Linked DNA regions of Rhinolophus ferrumequinum. The protein of the gene in region 2 interacts with the protein of the main gene of each other region in a biochemical or structural test. Links are inferred from orthologs where the notes say so. Each region holds a gene or a part of one and is shown on either strand. Other genes may lie near its edges.

What was found.
Region 1: the proteins of TNNI1 (region 2) and TNNC1 are reported together in a solved structure, tested with the Homo sapiens proteins (2 studies listed by BioGRID, with this or other methods). The link is inferred for Rhinolophus ferrumequinum from reciprocal best matches to the Homo sapiens genes TNNI1 and TNNC1.

What each region holds. Positions count from the first base shown.
Region 1 is NC_046300.1:48,067,664-48,082,226, forward strand, and holds TNNC1 (troponin C, slow skeletal and cardiac muscles), read right to left. Parts: upstream 9,633-14,563; 5' UTR 9,534-9,632; coding exon 9,510-9,533; intron 8,001-9,509; coding exon 7,970-8,000; intron 7,756-7,969; coding exon 7,609-7,755; intron 7,345-7,608; coding exon 7,230-7,344; intron 7,010-7,229; coding exon 6,873-7,009; intron 6,789-6,872; coding exon 6,757-6,788; 3' UTR 6,580-6,756; downstream 1-6,579. Other genes in the region: SEMA3G (semaphorin-3G), read right to left, coding at 560-668; NISCH (nischarin), read left to right, coding at 11,136-11,231, 13,397-13,480, 14,190-14,372. UniProt on the Homo sapiens protein: Troponin is the central regulatory protein of striated muscle contraction. Tn consists of three components: Tn-I which is the inhibitor of actomyosin ATPase, Tn-T which contains the binding site for tropomyosin and Tn-C.
Region 2 is NC_046310.1:926,255-940,817, forward strand, and holds the start of TNNI1 (troponin I, slow skeletal muscle), read left to right. Parts: upstream 1-7,782; 5' UTR 7,783-7,869; intron 7,870-10,397; 5' UTR 10,398-10,414; coding exon 10,415-10,425; intron 10,426-10,995; coding exon 10,996-10,999; intron 11,000-11,631; coding exon 11,632-11,673; intron 11,674-12,144; coding exon 12,145-12,276; intron 12,277-12,954; coding exon 12,955-13,044; intron 13,045-13,904; coding exon 13,905-14,081; intron 14,082-14,563. UniProt on the Homo sapiens protein: Troponin I is the inhibitory subunit of troponin, the thin filament regulatory complex which confers calcium-sensitivity to striated muscle actomyosin ATPase activity.

The DNA.
Region 1 (14,563 bases), on a different chromosome or scaffold from region 2:
GGAGGAAAGGCCAGCAGGGGAAGTGGGCTGCAAGAGGCGGGTGGGGGGGGCAAGGCTGTGGGGACGGGGTGAGGGGCCCCCTTGCCAGGCGGGGAGGAGAAGGGCAGGACCCTGCTCCCCCGCTGCCTTCCCTGGGTCAGGAGCCCCGGCTGAGGGCAGAACCTCCAGACGTGCCCGTCTGCCCATCCCCATCGCTCTCTGCTCATCTGTACCGAGGTCTCTCAGGGTCTCCCTCTGTCTCTCTCCTTTTCTCAGCAGCCCCCTCAGGTTTTCGTCCTGCGTGCCTCTGTCTCTCCTACCTCCATCCTGGCCATGCCTCCCAGGCAGGACCTGTCTCTCTCCCCCCGCGTCTTCCGCAGCGCCTGCCGCTGGTGGCAGTCAGAGCACCAACCCAGGGCATGACTGTGAAGTCTTTCCCACGGGCTATGCAGGGAGTGACAGCATCCCTCCAGCTGGCAGAACAGATTGCCGGGGGCTGGCCGGGGCCCCACTGCTGGGTGTGCTGCAGGGTCTGGGGCTCCCAGGGACATGCACAGGAACAGGGCACACCCACCCGTACCTCGGTAGGAGAGCCGCAGGCGGGGCACGCTGGGGCCAGGACTGGGGCTGCCCCCGCAAAGCAGGAGGCCCCCCAGGAGGCAGCAGATGGACCAGGCCGAGGGGACCATGCTGGGGGATCAAGGGCACAAGGCTGCCCGAGAAGCCAACCTCTAGTTCTGCTGCTGGTTGTAGTTTGTTCTGTCGCCGCCAGGCCTGCCACTTATAAGGCAGTGGCTCCACCCCGTCCAGGGCCAGGAAGGCGGAGGAGGAGGGAGGGGCAAGGGCCCTTGCCATCCACCTGCAGTTGCTCCCTCTTTCCCGACTGGCCCGGTTGATGCCTCTGTGTCAGATTGGCTGGTGTCACAGTTCACTGTTGGGAAGCCTCATTCCCAACTGGGTGTGGGTAGCTGACACAAAAATGTCCACAAACCCAAGTCCCCAGGCTCTAGTAAAATGTCAAGGGGGGAGATACCCCGGAAGGGAGGTCGAAGTCAGAGATCAGAGGTTGATGGGCTGGGTGCGGGTCTGGCTGGGCTCTCCTTTGCTCCCTGACCCTGTAACGCCCATGACATAGACCCCCACAAACCGACTCTAGGTCTAGGTCCCTGATACCTGGAGGGTTCAGCCCCCTGAAGCCTTGGCCTGGCTCCTCAGCTCCCCTGGCAGGGCCCAAGTTACGTGGGGCGGGGTCATTCCAGCCCAAGGGGCTCCATGTTTTGGGTGCAGGCTTAAGGGCTGCCATACTTCACAGAACTGGGATTGGCAAGAAATGAATGTCTGGCTTCCAGGCCCCTTCCCAGCTGACTGGGCAGAGGAGCCTCCCATTACCCTGCGTCTCTCAGCCATCAAGTTTTTCCAGAGACCCAGGGCCACGAGTGTCACTCAGTGAGTGGTGGGTTCTTCCCAGAGTCTACCTCTGCCCTGTAGGCCCTATATCTATGATACCTCCAAAGTGGGGGCACTCACACCCCCACTCACTCTGCCTTGAGGTTGGATACGGGGGGCAAGAAAGCCACAGAAGAGGGACAAGGAGAAGAGACTGAGGGGCTGAACTGAGTCAAGTGAGGAGACTTCCCCATGTCCCATCCCACCGCAGCCCCTGTCCCCACCCCACCCCCCACAGCTGCCACTCCACCCCACCCCAGATCCTTATACATAGAATCTGAGGCCCTAGCAGCTGAGAAGATTTCAACTTTGAGCCAGAATTGGAGCGCCCAGGATTCTAGAAACTCCTGAAAGTTAGGCCTCCCAGATGGGCCAGACTGAGCCCTCAGATGGTGGTCAGGAAACTTGGGGGCATCAGAGAGGGAAAGACCAAGCCCAGGCCATACAACAGGCTAAGAACAGACCCTATCAACCCTGCCCCTTCTGGGATTCTCTTTTGCTTCTGGGGTTGCTGGGGGGAACCCAGCAACCCTCCCCATCTCAACCCTGGAAGGGAAACAGGTCAGCCCCTTGAGTCAGTGTGAGAAGGACCCAGGGATCTTGAACCCTGTCTCCTTGTCCCCACCTCCCCCTGACATGTATATATACATACATATGTCTCCTCAGGGGGAGAGGGGTGGCTGACCTGGGATTGTGTAAGGGGCTGCTCAGGGAGGCCAATGACTACCCACCTCTGACTCCACTGGAGAACTTTGGCCAAGACCCTTCCCTCTCTGAGTCTCCGTCTCCTGCTTTCAGGGCCAGGAACCATTTACCTTGGGTGTAACAGGCAGTATAAACTGGTGAGGAGTGCTTGTGCAGGAGCTGCCATGATGGTGATTATATCCTGGTCCCTTGGAGGGGTAGAGCCCCTCGGCCTCTGTCTCCATGGAGAGATGTTTCAGGAGGTACCCCAGGCTGGGGGCCAATATCTGCCTGGAGATTGAGCCAGACAGCATGTGGCCACCAGCTGTGGGCAGCAGGCCAAACAACTCTTCAGCCTGCCAGCTCACCCTGGGGGTCTCAACTCAGCCAGGCCCCCAGCTGAGGCTGCAGGGGAGGCCTGGATCTACTGGGGCAGAATGTGGGGGACAGTCCACTTCATACTGCAGGAAAACAGCCTGGGGTAGGGGCTGGGAGCCCAAACTCTAAGGTTAACTAGTTGTGTGGCCTCAGGCAGGTCCTCTCCTTCTCTGAGTCTCAGTTTCCCCATCTGGGAAGAAGGTAAGGATCTTCTGTAAAGACACGTTTGCAAACTGCAGATGGAAAATAGACCCAAAGGTGCTCCTGATTTCTCAGGTCAATTGGCCAAGCCACGTGCCTCTTGGGCCATCTAATGGACAAAGTGGGAACTGCAGGAGATCCCAAAGCTGCCCACTATGTCAGGCCCTGTTGGAGCAGCAGGGCCACCCAGGAGAAACTGCAGCCTCTTGGGGCAGCAAGCCATAAACAGTCAACCATAATATGAAGAGGCAGGGGCAGTGAGAGACGGTCCAGTGATTGCTCCTGATGGAGGAAATCAAGAGAGGCTTCATGGAGGAAGCACTATCCAGGCAAAGGATAACAGCCCAAAAGAAATGAAGAGGACCGACCGCAACCAAACAGTCAGAACTAGGTGACGTATGTAGAGGAGTGCAGTGCCGTGTGCTGGCGGGAGCTGGAGGCCATTAGCTGCATATCCATGTGTGATGTGTGTGTTCATGCGTCAGGTGCCACCAGGTGGGTATGTGGAGGATCACAGCCTGGCCTCTCCCAGCTAGAATCCTGGGGTGGGCATGCTTAGAAGGAAGTCCCTCTCCCACCAACCTCATTCTGGAACAGAGAGATTGAGACAATCCCACAGGGCTCTCTCCCTCTGAACCTCTTCTTTAAGGCACTAGCCAGCCACCCCACCCCTCTGTGCAGCTGGCCCAGCCATCCTCCTGTTTCATTCACAGAGGGCTTAACTCTTGGGGTTTCTCTCTTCTCCTGTCCCAAGCCCAGCAGGAGCCCACATGCCTGCGGTGCCCCGTGGCCTCTCAGGTCCTGGTCCTTGCCTTCCCCCAGCTCAGCCACCCATCCTCCGTCTCCACCAATAAGGATGTGACCTGCTGTATCAGCATTCAGCACATCCCTTCCTCTGGACACACGACCTGCACTCGGTATCCCCACTGCCACAGTTCTTCCCTCGTTGCCTTGAGCCCCCTTACTCCTCTCCCAGCTTGCATCCAGGCTCAGCGCTATAACCATACCCTTAAAACACTGCCCAGAGGCCTGTAGCCACTTACCTTCTGCAGCTCCGCCCTGCGTCTTACGCCACTCCTTTTCCAGGTTCACTGGATTGTTCCCATCAGCAATCAGGCCATTCCCTGATTCCCCTCCTGAAATGAGCTCACATCCCCCCTTGGCTTCAGTCCGTTTCCCTCTGTTCCCTGAGCATTTGTAAAACTTCACCAGTGTTGTCCACACTCTCCATTTCCCCTTTATCTCACTTACTCCTCTGGCCCTGTCCAGCCGGGCTCCCATCCGACTGCGACGATGAAACCCTCGTGTCCAGGTGGCCGAGGCCTCGGAGGACTCCAAGTTCCTTATCCCCAGAAACATCAGCTGTCTTCCCTGCCTCCTTTCTTCCCTCCTGGCTCTTAGGGCCCCTCACGTTCCCAGGGTCTCTCCCACCTCATTGATCACATCTCTTCCCCCAGACTGCCTATGAGGGATGCCCAGTGTCCAGTCCGGGGCCACCTCTCTCTACACAATCTCTCTCTGGTGACTCATCCAGGATCAGGCCTGGGGAAGCACTTATTCTGATGACACCTGAGTTTATAGCTCTCCTTCTCCCCTCTCACTTAGATCTAGCCTTGCTTTGACATCCCCTCCGTCCTATCCAGAGGCATTTCAACTTTGACATGGACCAAGAACTCTCCATCTCTCATATGATCACCCTGCCAGAAATGCGTAACCTGAATCTAATCTGGAGGAAACCCCAGACAAACCCAAACTGCATGAGATTCTCTACAAAATAACTGGCTTGTACTTTTCAAAAGTGTCAGAGTCACAAAAGATGAGGAAAGACAGAAACTGACAAAGATTGGAGGAGAGTAAATGGATAGGATGACAAGATGCAGTGTGTGACCCCGGGTTGGATTCTGGTCCGGGAAGAGTACATTCGTAGGGTAACTGACAAATTTGAGGGAAGTCAGCAGATGAGTTAGTAGTGGCCTGGGCTTAATCATTGTCCTATGGCTATTTAAGACATTAATATTTGGGCAATCTGGGTAAAGTGTTAATGGGAGTTCTTTGTACTATTTTTGCAAGCCTAGAATTTCAAAATGAAAAGTTAAAAGCTGAAGAAAAAAAACTCTAAAAGAGAAAAGAAACCTCTACTTCCCGATACCCCACGGCCAAGAACCTGTGCCTCCCCCAGGCTTCCATAGCTCAGGAAATCGCAGCTTCATCCTTGATGTGAAAGGTCATCTTTGACTCCCTACTTTCTCACACCTCACATTCAAGCCTTCTAGTTCCAAACATGCCCTGAATCCCTTCACCTCCCTCCACCCTTCTTGCCCCACTGTGCTGAGAACCACAAAGCCATCTCACCCCAAGGTTGCCGAGGCTCAGCTCCCGGCCCAACTCTGCCTTTCTGCTCCTGCAATGCTCCAGTCTCTTTCCCCATGACCTCACATGGCTGGTTCCCTGTGGTTTACTTCAAGCCTCAGCTCAGTGCCACCTCTTCCAGGAAGCCTTCCTGGACCACTCTATCTCATGGCCACCACACCTCTACAATCCTCATTCCGGCACCGTGCTGGTTTCCCATTTCCCTCTTTGTCTTCCTGAGTTGACTATAAATTCCATTAAATTAGGGACTGGGCCTCTCTCTGAAGGGTCCCAGCATCCAGCCTGTGCCAGGCACATGTTAGGTGTGACTAAACCATGGAATGGTACACTGGCTGGTGGTGTTGCCCACAGTGGCCCTGCCTCCTCTCCTGAGATGTCATTTTTCTTGGGTGCACTCGTAAGTCCTTGAGTTCTCCAGCTCCCGAGGTCAGGTCCCCTTGGGAGGACCCCTTCTCTTCTCCCCCCAGGTCTCTCTAGGGACCAGGAAGCTCCTGCTGGCACTGGCCTCCACTGGAGGCATCTCCAGAATTCCAAGACTGTCTCCGGAATGCTGGGCCTGTCTGGGGAATGCTAAGGCTGGGGCACAGGTGGGGAGGCTGTGGAGTGGCTGGGTGGAGCGAGGACAGCTGCTGACATTCTGACAGGAGCCCAGGCACATGGCAGCTGTCCCTCCTGCAAGCACCACTGCTCACACCTCTACTTCCTTGCAGCACCTGCCTCCCCCCAGACCAGTGTCACTGTTGTGGCTATAGTTCTGGCCTGGGCACCCCCACTAACCTGAGAGCCACCAGGCCTCGGGCCTCCATGTCCTGTCAGGGAAGGAAAGTAGGTTGCTGGAGCCTCTGAGGTTCACAGGAACTAGAAATTACGCCCATATGGACCTGGTCCATCAGATAGAGCCCTCGCTGGGAGCTAAGCAGCTCTGCTCTCCCCTGACTCGCTGGAGGACCTTGACAGGTCTCTGTGCCTCTCTGGGACCCAGGCTCCTCACCTGTCAAATGGGTGAAGGAGCTACAGTAGGCGATAGGCCCTTTGGTCCCTGGGAATCAATGTTGCCAGTGGGAAATCCAAGTTGAGTGGCAGATGGACTAGAGCTGCAGGCCCACTAGGCCCCACAGTGCCCTGCTCAAGATGGTGCCCTCCAACAAGTGCCCTGCAGCAAGACAGAGCTGGGGCTGCTGTGCCAAGTGGCATCTAGGGCCTAGCTGGGTGCTGCAGCTATTTCTCCAAGTACAGGACCCCCTGGCTGCCAACTGGCTGACCAAAGTCATGCCTCCAGGATCCTGTTAAATGCAGATTCCTGGGCCACCAGAGACTCCAAGTGATGAATCACTATAGATAGGAAGGGGGCAGGCAGGATATGGAGCGTGGGAGTCGCTGATCTAGCCTAAACCTTCCCGCAGAAGGTGGTGTGCAGGGGAGGTTAGAGCCCAGGCTCTGGCATGGGGAAAGTCATCAGGGCTGGAGTAACCCTGATGAAGAGAGTCCACAGCCCCTGGAATGAAAGCCAGACACCAGGCCTCCAGAGAGCATGGCTTTATTTGCATTCCTAGAACAGGACTGGGGAGGGAGTCAGGGATGGCCTGCGGTCAAGGACACGCCCAGGCTCACATCCTGGGGACACCGGCCCCTTGCCCCACCCCAGGGCCCAGCTGGAGTTGGAAGGTGGCACAGGCAGCTCTGGGAGAGGGTCGGCCTCTACTCCACCCCTTTCATGAACTCCAGGAACTCTGTGGAGAGAGTAACAGGCATGGGTCAGAGGTGGGGGCTGGCACGGTGTGGGCAGTGGGAAACCCGGTACATCACGCCCTCACCGTCATAGTCGATCCGGCCGTCATTGTTCTTGTCACCATCCTTCATGAGCTCCTCAATGTCGTCCTCCGTGATGGTCTCACCTGTAGCCTGAAGCATTGTCTTCAGCTCCTCCAGGTCAATGTAGCCGTCAGCATTTCTGCAGTGAGTCCGGGGCAGGGGCGGGTCTCAGAGCCATGGACTGGGGAGGGGAAGAGGCAGCCCCACCCATGACCCAGGGAAGCAGGGCCACTGAGAGATGGAGCATCCCACTCTCCCATTACACAGAAAGGGAGACTGAGGCCTGGAGGTCACAAGACTGTTCCACTTTCCCGAGCTCTGCTAGAGCTGGAGTCAGAGGTCAATGGTCACATGCTCACTTGTCAAACATGCGAAAGAGGTCAGACAGCTCCTCCTCAGACTTTCCTTTGCTGTCATCCTTCATGCACCGAACCATCATGACCAGGAATTCATCAAAGTCCACTGTGCCGCTGCCTGGAGGGTAGGTGACACGGCCATTAAAGAGGGATGGTCAGAATGACTGGTATCGCCCTTGAACCTAGACTCCGTTTTTCTCACTGCATCCACACACCAACCCCATGAAGCAAGGTGGTCATTATGCCCACTTTATATATTAGATGACTGAGGCTCAGAGAGGCTAAACTGTTCCTTCAAGAGCACAGGATAATAAGTGGCAGACGCAGGATTCAGGTCCCCAGTGACCCGGGGGTCTGGGGCCTGTAGGGCAGAGGAGCTCACCATCCTCGTCCACCTCGTCAATCATCTCCTGCAGCTCCTCAGGTGTGGGGTTCTGGCCCAGCATCCTCATCACCTTGCCCAGCTCCTTGGTGCTGATGCAGCCATCCTCAGCGCCCAGCACGAAGATGTCAAAGGCTGCCTTGAACTCTGTGTCCGATGGTCGGGGGGTGGAAAACAGAGTGGCCAGGGCTCAGCAGCCAGGACCCCAAAAGGCAAGACCCCTCAGGCCAATCTGCCCACTTCCCTCTGAGCCTTTGAGGTCACAACGAGAGGGACCCCAGCCTCTCTTCTCCAGCCTGGGGTCCTCCTGTTCCCACAGCCCGGCCCTGCTGTTTCCTTACATGTGTGTTGGAGTACTCACCATTTTTCTGCTCTTCTGTCAGCTGCTCTACCTAGAGAGGAAAAGAGGTCTCAGGACTCAGGCTCCAGGCTTTAGCTGCTGTTGAGGAAACCAACCCATTCCACAGGTGGGAAGACTGAAGCCAGGAAGAGGCGTGCCATTTCCAAGTCACATAATGGAGGCCTCAGTCCTCCCTTCTTGCCCCCAAAACCCTGAGGTGACCCAGCCGGCCTCACTGAGATTGGGTTCAGGGCCAGGGTGACAGGTGGGCAACCCTCCGTTGACTAGGTGACCCTGAATAACAATAGTTAGTGACCACTCAGTGCCCAATTGGACCCCTGCTGAAACCCAAGCTGGGTGGCCCGAGGGACAGCTGTCCCTCAGGTTGGGACAATAAACCCAGTGTGGGGGTAGGTAAAGCCACCCACTGTAATTTGACCGGCATGGCCACTGGGCTATTTTTAACGGGCGACAAAGTTAAACCTGGTGATTGTTCTGGGGACTGTGGCATGCAGGGGGTGGGGCAGTGTTATCTGGCCCCCTGGCCTGCTGGTGCCTCAGGAGCCAAAATTAGCCCCCAGCCCCGCCAGGCCTTGTATGGGCACAGGCGGAGGGCTGCTCCCCCCAGCTCCAAGGACTACTGCAGGATAGGAAGGGGTGCCCCCAGAGCCAGCTATAGCCCTTCCCTGCCTAGGAGTGGGACCACAATCCCAGGGCTAAGGGAGGGGTTCCCTTGGGGACAGCTGTCTGTACCAGATGTCCTTGTCTCTGGCGCAGGGAGAGGTCAGCAAACCAGCCCCCCGCCGATACAATGGCATCTGAAGCCCCTCAGTGAGCCCAGAAGGCTGCAGGGACTTGAGGTAACCACTCTCCAGCCCTCACCCCTGGCTAAGCCGTTGAGCCCAGAGCCTGCCGGGCCAGATGGGGGCTTGGGCCCCAGTTCTCTGTTCCTTCTTCCCAGTCTCCCCCGTGGCCAGTCCTTCCCTGCCTGCTTCAGACATGAAAGTCTCTTCCCTAGCTTAGGATTCTGACTCTGCAGCCCGCTCTTTACAACTCCTGTCACCCCCTTCCTCCACAGCATCTTCAGCCAGCTAAGGGGCTGGAGGGGGCGGGGGGGATTGTGAGTGTGTGGGAAGCAGAATATGAGGGGCAGAAATGTGGGTGAGGACAGGGAGACAGCGGCTGAGACTCAGACAGCTTAGAACAAAGATGAGAAGAAGCTGAGAAAAGCAAAGCTCCAGAGACCAAAGACACAAACGCAGAGATGTGGCTGAGAGACCACAGATGTGGATACAGACTGGACACTTGGAGACAGGGACAGACATGACCCTACAAGGTGTGACCTCCTCCTCTACCCACTCTGACAGATCCTCTCCAGTCCCTGAATCCCTTCAACACCCAGAACACCAGACCCACCATCCCCTTGAGGCCCTGGGCTGAAAGTATGTGGGTCCTCTCCTGGGCCCCCACCACATCCCTGGAGTGACCTTGCCCTCCCCCCCCCACCCCGCACTCTGAGATGAGTGAGCCCCCAGTGGGTCCACCCAGCCCAGTCCCTCACCGCTGCCTTGTAGATGTCGTCCATGCCGGCGACTCACAGGGCAGGCTGCTGGGGTTGCCAGGCAGTCCGCCCTGGGCTTAAATAGCCCTGCCCCAGCTGCATTCCGGCCCAGCCCCCCCCCCCAGTGTGGAGCATCCTCCACCCCCTCCCCCGGTCCTGGTGATCTCAGACTGGCCTGAGTCCCTGTGTCCTCTGCCCAGGAAAAGGAGATGAAGGCCTGTTAAGGACCAAGTCTCTTTCCCTTTGTTCCCCCATGGCCTCTAGGGGACTCCTTGGAAAGTTTTCTTGAATGAATGAAAACATGAGCCCAGGACAGGACAGGAGCTGCAAAGTAGTGGGGCCCAGGCCAGGCCCCTACACAGCAGCTCAACCTCCCATCCAAGCAGGGGGGTGGGTGACATTACTCCCACTTTCCAATAAGGAAACTGAGGATCCTGGAGGGGTGGTGATGTGGCCAAGGTCTGGCTGATTTGGTAGCCCCTGTCTTACACTCTGCAGTGGAGGGCAGCTGTATGCAAGGAGAGGCTTGGGAGTATAGGGCCCTGCCAAGGGAAGCCTGGAGTGGGAAGCTCTGAGCACAGTGCTATGAACTGGTAGATAAGGAAGTCACTGACCCACCTTAGGACTGAGTGGTCTGGAGCCCTTCAGCCAAGGGTGCCAGAGGAGCCATAACCCGGACCTCTCATCTCCACATAGTACTGTTCTGGGTTTGGTTAGCTGCACTCAGTCAGCCAACAAACACACCTATAGATACCCTGTCTGTGCCAGACTCTCCCTCTCCTTCCCCTCCACAGCTGGGCTATTACCTCCCTCTTTTAGGTCCAGGTCTGCCCCCGGGTTAGGGCTCTATCTCTGTGCCTGTGCTTCCCATTCCAGCACTGTAGTTCCTGGGTCCAGGGCTAGTCTGTCACCCCCTTTCAAGCTCCGGTAGGTCACCACATGTCTTGTGCCCAACGGCCAGCACATAACCCTTCCTTCCACCGTCACACCCCCACCATGCAGAGCCCCGTCTTGATAACCACACCAGCTCCCTGCCTTTGAACCGGACACTGCATGCATTAACCCACTCAATTCTCCAGCAGCCCATGTAACAGAGATTTCCGAGTGTTGGAGAGGGTAAGAACTGGTCCAGAATTCTCTGTCCCTGTTTAGGCTCTACGCACAGCTCGTATCTTCTTCAACCGTTTCTAGCCTAGAACGAGTCTAAGAGCTAGCGCGATTACTGCCTCCCTTTTTCGGAGAGGAAAACTGAAGCCAGGCGGAGCAGTGACTTGCTTCGGGTAGCCGAGGACGCGTGGAGCTTTCTGTCCTCCCTCCCGGGCACGGAAGGGTAATGCCTAGAGCTACCTGCACGGGGCCTCAGTTTCCCCCGGTTGCTAGTAGCGTGACCGGCGGCACCACCCTGATACAGATTACGCAAGCGGACAGGCCTGCGCACGCGCGCCGTGAGTGGCTGCTGTCAATTATGCGCGAGGGGCGGGGCGAAAACGAGAGGAGGCGGTGGGGCCAAGATGGCGGCACGGGGCGCGGCGAAGGCGGGGGCCGGTGGGAGCCGGGGGATGGTGGGACGCTGACCCCGCCCCCTGCTGCTGCCAGTCTGCGCCGGGAGGCGGTGAAACCCGGAACATGGCGACTGTAGCGCGCAGCTTTGGGCCGGAGCGGGAGGCCGAACCGGCCAAGGAGGCGCGCGTCGTGGGCTCTGAGCTTGTGGACACGTATACGGTGTGCTGGGGCCGTGGGTGCCCGAACCGGGGGTGGCGGCTGGAACCCCGAGTCCGAGTCGGGGGATTGGGGAGGAGGTCTGGGTTCCGTGACCGGGGAGGGATGAGTAGCGGGCCAGCGATTTCGAGGAGGGGGCCGGGGATAGGGGTTTCTGGGGAATGGATCTGGGCCCCGTAGGTCCAGGAAGAGGGCCCTAGGGTAGAGCCCAGGGAGGTTTTTGGGGAAAGAGTACCTGTTCAGGAAAGGAGGCTAGTCGGGGGGAGGATCTGGGGAGGATCAGGGGATAAAGGGGGTCTGGGGAGGAGAGGACGTCTAGACGAGATGGAGGGTCCTCTAGATCCTCTAGGCCTGGAAGGGTGCCAGCCTGGGAGGATAGGCGAGGGGGTCCGGGAGGAGGGGGATTAAAGAGAGGATCGCTGATGGATGGAATCGGGGGAAGGGTCAGGGCCCTGTTCGCCGCGAAAGAGGAGAGGGGGCCGGGCCTTGATCTGGGGAACCTAGGGTCGCTGTTGAGATTTGCTCCAGGTCGGGCCCAGCGGCCTGGGGTTCAGGCCGAGACTAGAAAGAGGTAAGGGTGGAGCCCACACATGGGGGCATTGAGGGTTTCGCTCAGGGCTGAAAGTGCAAGACCCAGGAACCTTAGGTGTTTTCATGGCTTTGGGGGCGAGTTGGGGCAGCAAGCCCCTCCCACACAGTCACACAAACACACCCGTCCAGGCTATGGGAGAAATGGAGGATATGAAAGAGGAGGGTTTAGGGCAGTGATGGAACCCTCCTGGGTCTGGATGGGGTTGGACGCCAGGCCTATGGATCTGGTAGGCTGCCTGGCAGGGTCTGGTCCTGAGGTGGGGGCGTACTGAACACCTCCCAGCTCCTATTCTTTGTTCCCAGAGGGTGGGGGTCTTTGGCCCTGCCTTCGCCCCACCCCCTTGGCCCTCATCCTAACCCTCCTCCTGAGGGTCGTTCCTCTGGCTCTTTCTCCTTTCTTGGACACGAGGAGGAGGGAAGCTGCCTTGCTGGGAAGAGGGGCTGGGGGCGGATCCTGGAGCAACAGGCCAGCCCTGGAGAAATGGCTGCTTCTCTCTGTGGAGGCTTCAGCTGAGTTGATTAATTTCTTCTCCCCCTTCCCTGCTTGCTGCAGTGTGGGGCAGGACACTAGGTGAGGGTTGAGGTCTCTAAGCTGGTGGCTGGCTGGAAATCACCCATGGGCAGCATTCAGCTGGAGGGTCAGCTCCAAAAGTTGTCTTTACTGGCCAGGGCTGAGCCACTCCTGAATGGGTGTGGGGGATGTGATGATCCAGGCCAACCTACCATTTGGCTCCGGGTGTGCTGAACTGAATATTATTAACACACCTACTTTTTATTGAACACTTGCTGCATGGCAGGCCCTGTACAAAGCATTTTACATGCATTACCTTATTTGATTCTTAAACCTAGCAGATTTTAAGATGGAAGAACTGAGGCTCAGAGAAAACGTAGGCTTCCCAGTCACTTATATAAGTGACTCGTCCATAAGCACAGCCAGGCAATGGCAGTCAGGTGTTGACCTGAGGTCTTCCTTGATCCCATTCCCCTGACGGCTAAGTCATTTTGCCTTCTGTTAGGGCTTGATAGTCCATCACCATCCTCCCGTCCCACCCATCCATCAGCTTCTTGGTGCCTTGACTACTGGCTCAGCAGCAGAAATCGCAGCTGTGATCCAGCTGAAAGGGTTAGACTAGGGCTTGCTTCCAGGATATGGGCAGGGCACCTAGGAAAACATACAACAGAGAAGCTAGCCCTGCCAGACCCGGCCCTGTTCTGCCTCCCTTGGAAGAGATGGCCTTGCGTGCAGCTCAGGTTGGATTGGGCATTGAATTACCTGGAGACTGGAGGTAAAAATCTAAAGAGATGGTTTGATATGATAGTCACCTTTTCCGTTCCTCTCTGTTGGCTAGAGCCACAAACATCCTGTGTTCCTGCCAGATACAGTGTTAGTGCCGTTGAGGAGGCTAAGAGGGGGCCCTGCTGTGCAACAAGAGTCAGGTGCAAAGGCTGGTGGGGAAGGGCAGCCTACCTTTGTCCTGTGGCTTGAGAGGGTCTGGGTATCCTGCAGCTATTGCTGGGGGCGGGGTGGGGCTCTCCTTGTTACTCACTCGGCAAGGGCTGCCTGTTTTCCCTCGTAGGTTTACATCATCCAGGTCACTGATGGCAATCATGAATGGACAGTCAAGCACCGCTACAGTGACTTCCATGACCTGCATGAAAAGGTAACCCTTGAGAGCTGGGGGACCTGAGTCTCAGGGTTTGGGGCTTTCCGGCCAAGTTCTCCTGGTGCCGTGTATTAGTGTTAGGGCAAAACAGGCTCCATGCCTACGGTGTTCTTTAATAATGTAAAGTTTATTAATGTAACTGGCAAAAAACACTGGTGGGTTCTGGGATTTCAACCCTAGCATGAGACGGTGTGCAAGGAGCATATTTGAACTTCAGTTTTAAGATTGCCAATCCTAGCTTGGATGTGAGATGCTGGGACAGTTTCCCAGTGAGGGAACAGGTTTGAACTTGTTTGACCTGACTACAGCTATTCCACAGCCTGTACTTTAAACTGGCTATGATTCCATTTCTTTCTTTTGGAGAGAGATACCTTTGTCTGGGTCATTTGCAGCCTGAGTGTTTTAAAGACAGACTACTCCCCTGATTGGTTTTTGTCCTGGTTTGGAAAAGATAGTGATTTTATGGGCCGTTTTGAATGTCTCCATCTAGAGTCTCCAGGTGGAGCTCCCCGTCTGGAATTGTATTGGTATTTCTGATACTAACTGAACTTAATGCAGCCAAGCCCAGAGGCACTGGTTTGATCACTGATCCTGGTAGTGCTGCCACAGGGGCTGGGGAAGTCATGACAGGCTGCTTGCTAGTCTTGGTCCTGCACAGTCACAGGACCTCTTGGTCTGTGCTTGACATGCTTATGTTTTTTTACAGCTTGTTGCACAGAAGAAGATTGATAAAAATCTGCTTCCGCCCAAAAAGATAATTGGGAAAAACTCAAGAAGCTTGGTGGAAAAGAGGGAGAAGGATTTGGAGGTCTACCTCCAGACACTCTTGGCTACCTTCCCTGGCGTGGCCCCCAGAGTGCTGGCCCATTTCTTGCATTTTCAGTTCTATGTAAGTTCCTCTCAGGTTTCCTCTTTTGCCTATAAACCCACAACCACCCAAGCTCAAGGAAGCAAACCAGTGTAGATCTCAGCTTTGAGGGGAGGTGGGCTGGAGTTTGATCTAGAGGTAAGAAGACAGAGGAACATCACCCTAGCAGGGAAGGGATGTGGGCAGAAGCATGTTCATTGACAGGTCTGCCT
Region 2 (14,563 bases):
GCCCATCCTGGTATGGAGAGTGCAGCCCAGCCTGCTCCTGTACTCCGCCCCCATCCTCCCCATGGCGCCTGTGTGGGAGGCCCTGGCTGCAGTGCTCTGCCTTTTCTCTCCTACAGCAGGTCTTTCCCTGCCACAGGCTGGTAGCCACCCACCGGAAACAGGTGAGTCCCAGGTGCTTCCTGTGGACTTAACCCCTTCTGGGCCTGCTGACCACTCCCTGAGCCTGAGCCTCTGCTCACGCGTGTGATGCCAGGAATGGCTCCAGGATTGTTTATGGAGGGACAGGAGCTGCCCACCCTGCCTGAAGCAGGAAGGGCCGGGTCTGGTCAGCCCTTGGCATGGCATGGAGGGCTTACTGGGGCACACAAGCCTCCTCTGTGAGCGTCAATAGCCCCCCCACCCGAAGGCCTCTGTTCAGAACTGCACTGCTCTAGGCTTGGGACGCACTGTGGGCCGCAGGCCCAGGGCGGGCCGCTGAAATGAGTTGTTTACTGAGCTCTCGCCTCCCCAGGCTGCACCTGTCTAGGGCAGGGACCTTGTGTATCTTTGGCAGATAATGAATTCTGTATAAAGGACCCGAACGGCTCTGAAAGTTTCCGGCTGTCCAAAGCGATTCTCCCTCCTTGTGCCTTCTGAAGCTGACTCCACCTGGGAAAGCTACAGGGGTTGAAAGGTGTGAAAATGCCTCTAAAGTTAAGACATCGTGTGCCTGGGGGGTAATTATCACAAGTCTCCAAGGAGCTGGAAGAGGCCACACTCCTCTCCCTCCTTTAACAGTCTGTTGTGTGGCCGTGGGAGTGGAGTTTCATAGGGCTTCTAGCTACTTATCCTGTCGTATCCCCACCGCCTGGAGCACAGATGACCCCACCTCACTTTGTGAATAAGGAACTTGAGAACCAGAGACATGTAGTCATTGGTCAGCATCACACAGCTCTTGTGTGTTGTTGGAGCGGGGCAGGAGGTCCAGACTGAAGGAGTTTCCGATCCCTGCCCTGGGTGATTCAGGGTGGTGGCTGGGCAGCAATAGAGTTTACTGCAGGCACGCTGCTCAAAGACAGCAAAGGAAACAGGACAGGCAGGAGGCTGTGGAAGCGACGGGGGCTGAGGCTCAGGAGTCACAGCAGAGCTTGCAGGGCAAAGCCTGCAGGTGGCGGCCACTGCGGGGTGGGAGGGAGGTAAGAAAAGCTGCAGCCACAGCACTGCAGGAGTGGGTCTGTGTTGTGAGCCCCACCCCTGGCCTGGCCCTACTGGCCTCGATGGCCCCTCCCCCAAGCCACAACAGAAAGACAGTAGTGCTGAGAGACTCCTCCTGGGGACAGGCGGGCGGTGCCTGCAGCAGCACAAGAAGCCCTTGTGTGGCCTGGCCTGAGATCCTGCTCCACCCTCCCTGGCCTGGGGGTGGTCGGAAGTTCAGATCCTGGGGTGGGAGGAGGCCTTGGCTGGGGCCAGGTCACCTGGAGGTCTCAGGGAGCGTGGTAGGGGCACTGGGAGCGAGGTAGGGGTTTCTGGAGACTAGAGGAGGTGGGATTGGCTATCCAGGGGTGGCCTCCTCTGAGCAGAAAGGAACAGAGATGCTGAGCGCTCCAGATCTTTCTCATTTGCTCCTCACACCTCCTGGGAGGCATAAACGGAAGGGGTGGTTACTCCCATTTTACAGATGAGAAAACCAAGGTTCAAAGAGGTGGCAGCCTCACCCGAGGCCACCCAGGGAGTAAGCTAGGGCTCACTCCAGCTCTGGGAGCAGGGTAGGAGATGGGTGTGAGAAGTTCATTGAGGCTGAGTTGGCTCAGGACGCCCAGGGCCATCTGAGGAATGGGAGTGTGTGTCCCCCTAGTGTGATCTTTAGCAGAGCTGTCCCCACAGTGCCCACGTCTTCCATCCACTCCCACTGCCCTCTGGGGGTCCAGGCCAAGCCTTAGGCATTCTGGAGAAGGACACATAGGGTCCCTGGCCACAGCCCAAATCTACTCAGCTTCTCCTTGGAATTCCACACACCCTGGGCGTTTGGCAGGAGCTGGAGTGCTTCCTTTGAACAATTTGTCTTTCACGGCACATTTGCATCAATTACCCCATTGTTCCTGTCACCTCTTCCTGGACCACTGGGCTGGCAGGGCCCTGACTCCCTGTGGACGTTGGGGCGGTGGGTGTGGGCGCCCCCTGGTGGCCGGTCTGCACCACCCATCTTGGTGCCCAGCTTAGCTACTGACAGAGCAGCCTGATGGCATCTCCTGTGGTGACACTCCGACCCCAGCTTACCACTCCCATCCTGTTCCCAGGGTCCCTGCGTGGAGTGAGAGAGAAAGCTCATGGGGCCGAGAACGCACAACGCAGGCGGTCAGGCTGGAAATTATTTTCCGTTAGAATTTTGAAGGCATTTTTTTCCCATTAAAAAAATAGACCATATATATGTAGAAAGAGCAGTTTTAGGTTTACAGAGAGATCTCACAGAAAGTAGTTTCCCTAACTGCCGTCTTCACATCCCCACATGCAGTTTCCCCTATTACTAAAATAGTCAGGCGCTGAAGTAATGACTTTGTTACACTTGATGAATGCATACTGATACATTGTTATTAACTAGCTTCCCATCCAGCTACAGATTTGTATGGGGCCCCTTTTCTGTCTGGAGGTTTTAAACAGCTCCTTGGTCCCTGTGCCTTAAGTTTTTGCTGTAATGGAGCTGGTACTTGGTGAGGACTGTCGTCTCGGTTCTGGAAGGTGTGGGTTTAATTTCTTTGATAACTACCTCTTTCTAAGTTCTGTGAACCTCCAGCTAGGACTGTATTGCACCTGCTGGGTGATCCTTTAATTTTTCTTATCCTTCCTGATCTAGTTCCCATCTTTTTTTTTTTTTTTTTTGGTACTTTCTGGAAAATTTCTTCAACTTTATTAGCCTTCTACTGAATGTTTTATTGTTCCTATCATATTCCTATTTTCCAAGAGGTATGAAATGTGATCAGACAATATGATGAATGTTTAAATTAAAAAAACCTTATTCCAGTAAAGGACACATTGCCATTAATCCCCCTCAGAAGACCCCCCCCTCGCTTCAAACACCCTTATCCCATGTTCTTACCACTTTCTGAAGCAGTTCTGGAAGTCCTCTTTCGAGAGTGTCTAGTTGCGCTGTCGTGGCTGCCTCGATGTCCTGAATCATTTTGACTTTGGGGAAGAGCCAGAAGTCACAGATCTCGTGAATAAATTGGATGAGGGCACACCGTAATTTTTTTGTTGGACAGAAATTGCCATACCAGAAGAGAGGTGTTTTTATTTAAACATTTGCTGTATTGTTTGATCACACCTTGTAGTCGGTAGATCACAAATAAGTCACATTCACATTTTGTCTCTGACACACACACACACACACACACACACACACACACACACACACACACGCGCGCGCGCGTGCGCCCTCTGGTGGACAGGAGCAGAACTTCACCTCCAGCTCCTGGGAAGAGGCCTATGGATGCCGAGTGTTCTCACTCGAAGACGCACACAGAGAAGGACCGAAATGAAAACCACAGTAGTTCCTTAGGAAAATTTCCCTAACTTGTCATTTTAGGGACATTTGATTAACTCACGACACCACACAATCCGCAGAGCTCGCTATGGTGGCCAATCCCACACTCGGTAGCTGGCAGATGAGGGGTTTCTCGACTGGTTCCTGTTACTCGCTGTCATTGACAGAATGAAAAATCAGACTTCATTTTTCTTTTTAAATTTTTATTGGGGAATATTGGGGAACAGTGTGTTTTTCCAGGACCCATCAGCTTCACATCAAGTCGTTGTTTTCAATCTAGTTGTGGAGGGCTCAGCTCAGTGGCCCATGTGGGAATCGAACCGGTGACCTGGGTGTCATGAGCACTGCACTCTAACCACTGAGCCAACTGGCCCCACCTCGGGTGGGTTCTTTGCTCTGCGTGATTCCAGGAACACTGCGTTGGTCGTTTGGAGAGTATCAGCGCTCCGAGCCATGCAGATCTTCCCAATGTTAACACATTCCATCCGTCATACAGTGGTTTGTGAAAAATCAGTCTTTAATATCACCGCCCATCGTATGGGAAGAGCCTGCAGGTCTGGGAGGCTGTCGCGCTCACATGGCAGATACGGATACTCTAAGATTTCCATTTTCTCTTGAAAGCTGGAATTTTATAAGTGGCCACAAATATGCTCGGTTGTTTCCCTTGAGAAACCAGGCCCACTTTGTTCATTTTTGAAAAAATATCTACTAATATTCAAGTCCAACTACCTATAGTTTTTCAGTCAGTCATTCTTTCATGTAAAAACGGAAAAGCAGCTGGAAGTGCTATGCTTCACACTTTGGTAGATGGCAGGGAGCTCTGTGCACAGCGACCATATTTACTAGAATAGGATGAGCCCTTTGCTTCCTCGGGGCACCCGTCCATAAACTGGCTTTTCTCCGGAGGGTGCATGGGGGGGCAACGGTGACTGCTGGCGCAGTTTGAGAAGAGACAGGTCTGTCCTGCTAGGCCAGACGCCATCCCATCTCCCGCTCTGGCTGGAGGGTGAATTCATTTCACCCCAGCCTTCTGAGCCCCTTTTGGTCCCCGGACTGTTCCAGTGGTTACCCCCTCAGTGTAGTCCTGTGTCAATGGTACCCTTTCCCCACTGGACCAACAGCGGGTGATCAAAGGGGAGGGTTTTGGGTTGTATTCTCCTACAGCCTGTGACAAGGAGAGAAGAGTTGGGCAGAGGTTGTGACCCATGTCTGCCTGGGAGTCTGTGCTGTGGTGTGGGAGGAACACAAGGAGAGGCCTTCTCTTTCTTGCCCTGAGAGGCAAGTGGCAGCTTCCCCACCCCCTCCCCCCCTGTGGAAAGGGCAGGGGCCCATGGAAGCCCTATCCTGGGAAGGGGGTTTGGAGTTGGGCAGAGGTTATCTCATGCTGGCGGGGGTCCTGAAGGGACTTCATTGGAACCTCTGATGAAGAAGGCCCCTCCTGAGCCGTTCCTCCCCAGACTCCTGCAGAAGAGCTATGGCGTGGGGCAGGAGTGTGAGGTGAGCGGAGAACGAGGGCTGCTGAGGTCTGGGGTTTGGTCAGAGAGGCATGGCGGGGGAGGAGAAAGCGAGCAGGGCCAGGGCCCTTTGTCTGTGTTGGTGCCTGTCCCCTGACATTCCAGGCTCTGGCCTGGACACTGGTGGAGGGGGTGGTCATAGCTCAGGGTGACCTGAGGGGCTAAGTTTAACATCAACAAAGGTCCAGCTGCCCAGCTGTTGTTTCTGTTTCAGTCTGAGAACATTGTTGGAGGGGACAGTTGTTCATCACCGATAACGTCAGCTTGTGGCTGTGACAACACCTCCCTCGGGGAGGGGGCAGCTGGTGCCTGGGCCTTCTGAGCACCTTGCCCCTATACCCTCAGCCATGAGCTCCCCAACCTTATTTCAGGACCCCCAGGGAGCAAGCAAGACGTCCTCCTGAGCCCTGAGAGGCAATTTCCTGTAGAGTCTTTGGTCAGAAGGCTCCTCTCTGTGTTGTCCATTCAGCTATTCAATGAGCATTTATTGAGCACCTACTATGTGTCAGGCACTGTGCCCCTTTTGGTCCCCTGCCTCTGTTCCAGTGGTTACCACCTGGGTGTAGTCCTGTGTCCACAGCGAGCTGGCCGCAGAGAAGAGCACGGAAGCCATAACCGGGCCCTGCTGACGGGGCACGTGCTCTGGGCAGCAGACACACCTGTGGAGACACACCTGTCTCCTGGGGACCTTGAGTGAGTTGCTTCACGTTCTGAGCCCCACTTCCTCTTCGGTGAAGGGGGCTGAGGACGGTGCCTGCGTGGCTCACGTTTGTCAGGCGATTGCCTCGTGCAGACAACCCCGTCTCAGCTCACAGCAGCCTGCTGAGGGGGACTGACTGCTACCCCATTTCACAGGGACAAACGGAGGCTCAGAGCCAGTGTCCCTGGTGGGTGGCAGAGCTTGTGCGACGCACCCTGTGCTGTGTCTCCAGTGCCACTGGCCTTCCTAGTGAGGCCCTTTGTGGCAGAGATTGAGGGGTGACGACTTTTTGGGTCTTTTCTTTGTTCCTTCTGCTCTAGCTCCCCAGCCCCCAGCCTAGCAACTGTGGGGGGCGGCTTCAGATGGGGTTGTGCAAGGCAGAGAGGGGCTGTGCTGGCTGTCACCAAGGCCAGGGCCCCGGCCGTGGGGGGAGGGGAGCCGGGAAGACAGATGCCCCTGCGCCTGGTCACTGGCTAATTTGGGCTCCTTGTTTCTCAGACAATGCCTGGCAGCGGGGCTGACAGGTGCCGGCCACTGAGGGGACAGGCCTGACTCCACAGCTATGGCCTTCTAAGGATTAGCTCTTCCAGCCGGACACATTCTTCCCTATCCTGGGAGGGGACTGTGGGACCTGGGGCAGGGGCCTGGCCCCACTCCGCCCCTGCAGAACTTGAGGAGGATTCCCCCACACACACACATGAGCCTCAGAGTCCGTGAGTCCCTGTGGTTTCTGCAGACGCGTCCTCTGGATGTATTCACGTCTGGACCACATTTTGCTCTTCTCTGTGTCAGTCTCCTCTCTGCTTTTCCTTTTCCAAAAGCAGTATAACCTTGCTCACAATTCATTCTTTTGTGCATATGAAGGTATTGTAAGAAAGTTCTTGCGTAAATTAAAAACATAAGCAATGCCACAAACCCCCGTGGACTCCGCCCCAGCCCCTGAATTCCTTCTCTGACCCCAGATGCGCCTCGGCTGCTGGCGGCCCTTACTTTCCATCCCCGCCCCTCCACCTGGAAGCCTGCGTCCCCGGCCACCACCATGACTTCCCAGACCTTGTCCCTTCTCCCTGGCAGCCTTCCAGAGTGGCGTCTCCCCAGGTTGACCTGACCCGAGCTGCAGTGTCCAGGGGGCAGGGCCTTGGCCCCTCCCTGGGCACGGTGGGGCTGTCGCCTTAGAACACCCGTTGCCAGCTCTCTCCCCCACCACACAGGGCACACGGTGGCATGGCGTGGCTTGCCAGGCCTCTCGCTGGCCTCCAGCGGGTCAGCATCCTGCTTGTCCTGGCCCAGCCGGCGCTCCTGGCCCACGAGGTGGCCGACGATAATAGCCACGGGATTAGCATAGTCGGCCTTGTCCTGCTCTGACTATAGGTGGGTATTATGTGTTCACCCACCATCCTAAAAATACCCCGTAAACAGGTGCAGCCCCGAGGGCACCAGCCCCCTGGGTTCTCTAGCACGCGGCTGGAGACAAAGGGAGGGCGGGAGAGGGGAGTTAAGTTCACTGACATCCAAGCCTGGGACGAGGGGTGCCATTCGGAACCTGGGAAGCCTTGATGCCTGGAACCCCAGCTGGAGAGGGGTGCAGAGCCCCTGCAGGCCCTCAGGCTTCCAGGAGCTGTTGCTGTGGCGTGGGCTCAGCAAAGGACCCTCTCTGCAGCACAGTTACGTCACCCCCGGGCACACGGGCACCAGAGCCACACGGGTCCCCCCCAAAGATCGGGGCGTGGGCTCGCGGCCTGATGTCCATGTCTCCCTGTAAGAGACGGAGGGTCGTGGAGACGTTCCCCGCCCCTCGCCCCTCGGCCCAGTGCCGTCACTGCTCTGGCCCCCTTGCGTCTTACTTCCCATCCTCTCCCCTCTCTGTCTCCCTGACTTGACTCAGGTGCTGGCCTCTCTGTGCACAGGATTTGCGTGTCCTCCTGAGCCTTGTGCACACGTCATCAAGCCCGTGGGCCCATTCCGTGTGCTGCGGTGCCTGCCCTGGGAGCTGTGCAGTGGGAGGGGCAGCGGCTCTGTGCTATTTTTACTGGCAGTTCCCATTGGCCATAGTTTTCATAGCCTCCCGTCAGCGCGGGCCCCAGAGTCTGCAGTCGCCTGCTGGACACCGCCCGCCCAGCTCACGGACACCAAACCAGGTAGGTGTCTGCAGCTCCGAACTTCAGATCCAGGTCAAGCCCAGACCGAGGTGCTAGGCTGGGGTTCCAGGAGAGCACGAGGGCTTGGAGGTGGGAGAAGGCATTTCTTGCCTGTACAATTGGATTTGTTGGCCGTAGAGTCCACGGTGTTATGTCCCATTGGGTGCCGCGTCTCCTGCCCCGAACTTTGCACAAGTTGCTCCAAGGGCCCAGGGCAGAGCCTGCTGGGCTCTGTCTTCACACTGGCAGCCCAGCAAGTCCCAAGAGGAAGAGACCACCTGGGGGAGGAGACGGCATGGGGGATCAAAGGGCAGGGCGGGGCTGCGTGTGGAAATTTAGGAAGAGCCTGGTGGGCAGCAAAAGGGAGCAATGCCTGCATCAGACAGAGAGAAGGTCCTCTGGCAAGCAGGACTCGGGGGCCTGGAAGACTGAACCCCAAGCCCCGCTGACCGCAGACATCTCTTGCTTCTTTTTCTTTGTCTCTGAGGGACGGGCTTGTCTCGCTTTGCCGTCCATCTGGACAGCAGGACAACAGCAGGTGAGGGCGAAGGCCCCCCTCCTCCCACCACTCCTGGCTCTGAGAAGCAGCAGGCAGATGGCGACAGCATCTGGGTTGGGGCATGCGAGTCTGCACACGAGTGCGGGCAGCTTCTGTGCTGGGCTCCGTGGCTGGGGGGGCGGGGGGGGGGGCTCAGGCAGTGCCTGCCAGCAGGTTTGAGATTAGGCTTTCCTGGTCAGAGCTCAAGATGGGTGTGTGGTGTGTGGTCAGCCAGGGAGGACCAGGGTGCCCTGGAACTGGACCCAAGGTCAGGGTGGGGAGCAGCGGGAGGCACACGAGCCTCACTTGAAATGTGTGTCCCCAATGAGCAGTGTGCAGAGAACACACACACACACACACAATCACACTCACACTTATATACGCGGCCTCTGTCCTGTTGGTTCAGTTGATACACCGCCCGCCCCACGGGGCCTCAAAGAAGGACAAGCCCAGCTCTGAGTCAAACCCCGGCCTCCTCTCCCGGCTGTGGGTCTGTGGTTATCTCCTTGCTGGCCCCTTTTGGGGGAGATGGAATGCCGGTCTCCAGCAGCCCATTTGCTGCTATCTACATCCTGACTTCTTATCAGGTCCCTGCTGTCTTCCACAGGACCTGTCAAGGGGTCCTGTCTGGTGGGTATCACAGCACAGGCTGGGGACCCCTTGGCCTGGCATTTGTCAGTGGGGCAGGCCCTGGAGCTTGGCAGGAGGCCTGGACTGGCCTGGGCAGGTGGGCCCCACACTGGTGATGGGGTTTCTGAGGCAGGCCTGAGTATGGCTACATGCCCACCAAAGATGAGGCACATCCTGGGGAAAGAGCCAGGAGGCCCACAGGGCTGAGACCCGGGACCCTTGGGAGGGCAGTGATGATGGATGGACGTCCCCGGGTGGTTCTTCCCCAGCTAGTGTTTCTTTTTTGATTTTCTCAGTATCTCTGGAGGAGCAGAGCCCTCAGAATAAACAGCTGGCGATAAATCTAATTTCAGCCAAGCATGCTGAGAATGTATAGATGGATGGACGCCCACTTCTCCCTCTGTGCCCAGGGTGACAGCTGAGACTCCAGGCCACCCCCCTCTTCTCCAGGCTGCACTCTCCCTGGTGGCAGAGGCAGAGGCAGGGCCCAGAGGGTCTCTGGTGGGAGATTCAGGAGGGAAGCCAGCCCTGCTCCTGGCGGGGCGGTGCTTCTTGGGCACAAAGGGAGAGGTGAGCGTTAAGGCAGAGGCAGGAGGTCACCTGGTCAGGAGGTGGCTCTGGAGTGAAGTTGCTAGAACCACTGCCTGCTCCCAACCAGGTTCTCGGACCAAATCCGGACGGCTGACCTGGTGCCCCGACCCCATGCACACTGGTCCCCACCCGGCCCTCATGACCCAGCGGCGGACTCCTGTCCTGCCCTGCACACCACCCCACGCCCCCCCCCCCCTGTGTCCAGGCCCAGGCAGGATGGCCAGTCAAGTCTGGCCCCACTGCAGCCTCAAAGACCCCCTCCTGGGCTGGGGTCCCCAACAGCCAGGACTAAAGGGTCCTCCCAGAGGAGAGGGCTCCTGTGGTAACCCTGTAACCAGTGCCGTCTGCTCTGGAGGATTGTCTTTTGCTTCCAGGTGACACTCAGTCTGGGCAAAGCTTTAAAGAGCTAAATGTTACGTGGCAAACTTCTCTAAGCCCTAATTTTGCAGAGGAAACGGGCCTGGAGGGGCAGGCTGAGGATCAGGGTAGAACACACTCGGCCTTGCCTCCCTGCTCACCCACTCCACGTGGGGCGTCCTCACGACCTCAGCCCAGACTCCCAGCCATGTGGCTCCCCGGAGACCAGCCCTGGGCACAGTTACACTGCGCGGAGCGTGAACGGCAGCCCCTGGAAAGATGCACAAGTGTTTATCCCACCCTGACCCAGGGGACCCATGCTGTCTGGTTTCTTCTTCCTGTTGCCTGAAGAACACACAGGGTGGGGGTGGGGCTGTAACTGTCCTCATGAATGATTCTCCTGTGCCCCCAGGTGCTGCGCCCACCGCCATGCCGGAAGTGTAAGTGGCCCCGCCCCACGCAGGTCCCCTCACAGCACATTCAGACCCAGAGTTCAGGCTCCATCTGTCCAACCTCCGAAGCCTTTCCCCGAAAGGCCAGACCCGAGAATAGGAACAGCTCCGAGTGCCTGCGTCCCCAGCGTCCCCACGCGTCCTCCCGGCGTCTGAGCAGAACTCACACTCCCAGGTCACCTGGGGAAGACCACCCTGGCCTGTTGTAGACTTTGTCCATCTGCACGGGTCCGATGAATCACGTGTGCCAGGCCGTGATGTAATGCTGGCCCCATGGAGGAACCATCCCCCACAAGCCCAGGGATGGAAGCTTCTCGCTGCAGAACCCCTGGCGAGGCTTCTCTGACCCCCGCCCCCCACTTACAATGGGGAGCATCTCCTGCAGCCCAAAGGGCCGGGCTTTCACTCTGTTCTGCTGGGACCCTGGAATTGGCCCACCCGACACCTGGCCTCCCCAGCTTGTCCCCATGGTTCTGTGGCTGCATGTATTATATGCATCGTTCATACTCTGTCTTATGTTCTCTCTCCCCCAACCCTTCCTGTGACGGATGCCTGAAGCGAGGTGAGCTTTGAGGGAGCTCTGTCCTGGCTAAGTCTTCAGACTGGTGAGGGTGGGGTGGGCATTGGGGGAAACCAGAGAGAGCTTGGCTCAGGGATGGAGGGCTGCCCCGTGCTCAAGGTCACTGGAAGGAGGGGGGCTGGGACGGCAGCAGAGCTGGCTGTGACTGCACCCTCCCCGAGCACCGAGCGAGTTCCCGTCACCCACTCTGGGAGCTCGTCCCGCCCACCTATGTTCAGGAGGTTAACACCCAGAGTGCCCAAACATGCACGTCTCTCATGCTTTTCAGGGGGTTTGCACACTCCTGATCTCGTTTTGCTGCAACGACTCTGTGAACGAAGCCGGGGTGGGGGCCTAGGGTTTCTTGTCTGCAGACGGGAGGGTGCTGCCCATAGAGGTCATGTGACCCACACCGAGCCTGGCAGGTTTCCAGCCACAGCCCCTAACTGATGGCAACTGACTGCAGCATTCTCTGAGTGGGAGAATTCTGCCCAAGTCACAAGGATGAGCTTCTGAGGGGCCCTAGGCGAGGGTTCTGGATGACGATGGTGACTGGTGGCACGCATTGGGGCCCGGCCCAGGGCTCCTGCTCTGCAGCCTCCGCCTCACCCTGTCTCTCCCCTACTCATCTTCAGAGAAAATCCAAGATCACTGCCTCCCGCAAACTCCTGCTGAAGGTGAGGCCGGGTGCTGGCTCTGGGGCACACTGCATGGGGGTGGGAGGGACCAGAGGGGAAGCAGTGCAGACAGAGCAGCTGTGAGGATCCTGGGAGGGGAGGGGAAGGAGGCAGGGGGTGCCTGGCTGTCCCCTGGAGCCAGGGGTCCAGGGCTGGGGCAGAGGGACTTGCCATTTTGCTAAGAGTTTCTCTCTTTGGAGCTTTGTGAGCCCAGACAGACAGAAGTGGGAAAGAGGAGCCTGGGAGGATGAGCACGTTCCAGGGCCCACGAGCGGCCTGCCTGTAGCCAGCACACACACTTGCACACTTAGCGACCTCCTGCTCACACGCTCCCAGGGCTGCCTGGTCTGGGCCCTGACGAGCGTGTGAGCCCGGAGCCCACAGAGCCGGCCGAGGCCGGGCTGGCGCAGCTGGTGTCCGCCTCCCCTCCGGCCGGGAGGCTGACCTTCCCTGTCCTGCCCTGTCCTGCAGAGCCTGATGCTGGCCAAAGCCAAGGAGTGCTGGGAGCAGGAGCAGGAAGAGCGCGAGGCCGAGAAAGCCCGCTACCTGGCTGAGCGCATCCCCACGCTGCAGACACGGGGCCTGTCCCTCAGCGCCCTGCAGGTGAGCCCTTCAGGCTGGGGCTGGGGGTGACGCCGGGGACCAGGTGGCAGGAGCTGAACTAACGGGCTCCCAGCTCTGGAAGTTACTAGCAGCCCTTCGTTTAACCTTCACAATCCCTGTGAGGTTAGGTCCCATTTACAGACACAGGAAGCGAAGTGAACTTGGTGGGGCTGAGCCCTCCTGGCACGTGGACAGGGAGGCAGCAGAGAGGGGCAGGACTCGGGATGCCCCAGGTCTGCAAAGACTTGCCGTCCTTCCCCGCAGAGGCGTCTTGAATGTTTTTAAAACACTGCTAACTGTTCAAATGCCAGTGTCTGCAGACGAGAGAGTGGAAGGAAACACATTAAAATGTCACCGAGGGTTATCTCCCCCGGTGGCATCACTGGTCATTTTTATTTGATTATTTTTGTTTAAGACGCAGTTTTCAAAATTTCTATAATTAGCTTATTTTTACCACAAGATGACTTTTTAAAGAAAACGAGACACTCAGAAAGGAAGACACGGGGCTTCGACGCCCAGAGCTGTCAGCAGTCAGGGACCTCAGGTGTAGGGAGGGGCTCCTCAGCTTCTGTCTAGACTACAGGTTCCGCCAAGTGGAGAGGGCCCAGGGACCCGGCCTGGAGGCAGAGAGGGAGGCTGGACACCCAGGGCCCCCTCCGCTCCATTGCTGTGCCCCAGGACCTGTGCCGGGACCTGCACGCCAAGGTGGAGATGGTGGACGAGGAGAGATACGACATTGAGGCCAAATGTGTACACAACACCAGGGAGGTGAGCCAAGGAGGGGCTTGGGGGCACCTCCTTCTGCAGGGCCTGGGAGGTGGCCACGTAGCAGGACACTCTGGCCCCATAGGGCTGCAGACGGCAGAGAGAGGACAGCCACACAGACAAAGGCCCACACTTCCTCCCTGCTGGCCCACGGGTTTCTCACTCTACAAGACTCACTTGCCTGCAAAGGACGTCTAACCTTTGCAGACAACTTCCGTGTGCCTTTGATCCTCCCTACACACCTGTGGGTGAAGTAGATGCTATCGTCTGCACCTCCCAGAGGAGACACTGAGGTTCAGAGAGGCCCGGGTCTGGGGAGACCCCCACTCCAGGATGCAGGCTCCCTCGGTTCCATCCAGACCCTGCTCCACGGAAAGGCAGGGCGTCTGCTGCTACTGGGCACTTGTCCTGGGGGAAGGCGTAGGGAGGGGCCAGAGCCACTCCCCTCCTTCCCATTTCTCTCCTGGTGATCTGTGGGCTCACTGACCTCCCCAGAGAGCACACCTTAGAAGTCCCCCAGGGGTCAGGACCTGGCCTGTATCTATCTCATGGGACCAAGGCTGTGCCTCAATGGGCTGCCCTGGAGGTTCTGTGGGGAGGGACGAGTCAGGAGGCTGGGGAACGACAGGAAGCAGGGTTTCTGTGGGGCGGGCTGGCCCCAGCGGTTCATGGCCATGCCACAGGGAGGCCAGCTGGCTTCATCTGTCCACTTACCGGCCGTTTGCTTATCAACAGTCAGGTGGTGGCTACTTGCAAAGTCGTGGGTGGGTCTGCGTGTCTGGTCGCCTGGCCTGCAGGCTGGAGCAGTGGGGCTCAGCCCTGGTCGGCCCCCCAGTGAGCCCCGCCCCGACCGTCCGCTGCAGATTAAGGACCTGAAACTGAAGGTGCTGGACCTCCGTGGGAAGTTCAAGCGCCCGGCGCTGCGTCGCGTGCGTGTGTCCGCCGATGCCATGCTGCGCGCGCTGCTGGGCTCCAAGCACAAGGTGTCCATGGACCTGAGAGCCAACCTGAAGTCTGTGAAGAAGGAGGACACGGAGAAGGTGAGGGCCGGTCCCCAGCACCTGTCACCCGCCAGCCTCCCCCGTCACCCCTGACAGCCGTGAGCAGGCCCTGGAGCTCCTGTCAGAACATTCTAGAAGCCGCGGGAGACCAGCGATGGAGTCTGATCGCGCTCATCATTCCCTCAGGCTGCTCCCAGTCTGAGGAGGAGACTGGGACACAAAGAAATCCACAGCGAGAACAAAGCACCCCATGAAGAGGGTGGGGGTTTAGGGGGGCTGGGAGGCACTGTGCTCCGTCACTGAGGGAAACTCAGCAGGTCACCACAGTCCCAGCACGCCGGAGCAGACGTTAGGGACCCGAGTTCAGGCTCTTACTCAGCAACAAACCATTCCTGGGGGGTTGAGCTCGCAGCGTCCGTGCCCAGAATGTAAGAGGCCTGGTGGGGAGAAATGGAGGACAGATATGGTCTCTGTCCCAAGACGCTTTGTACGGAGAAGAGGCGGACCAGGCAGTGTGCTGA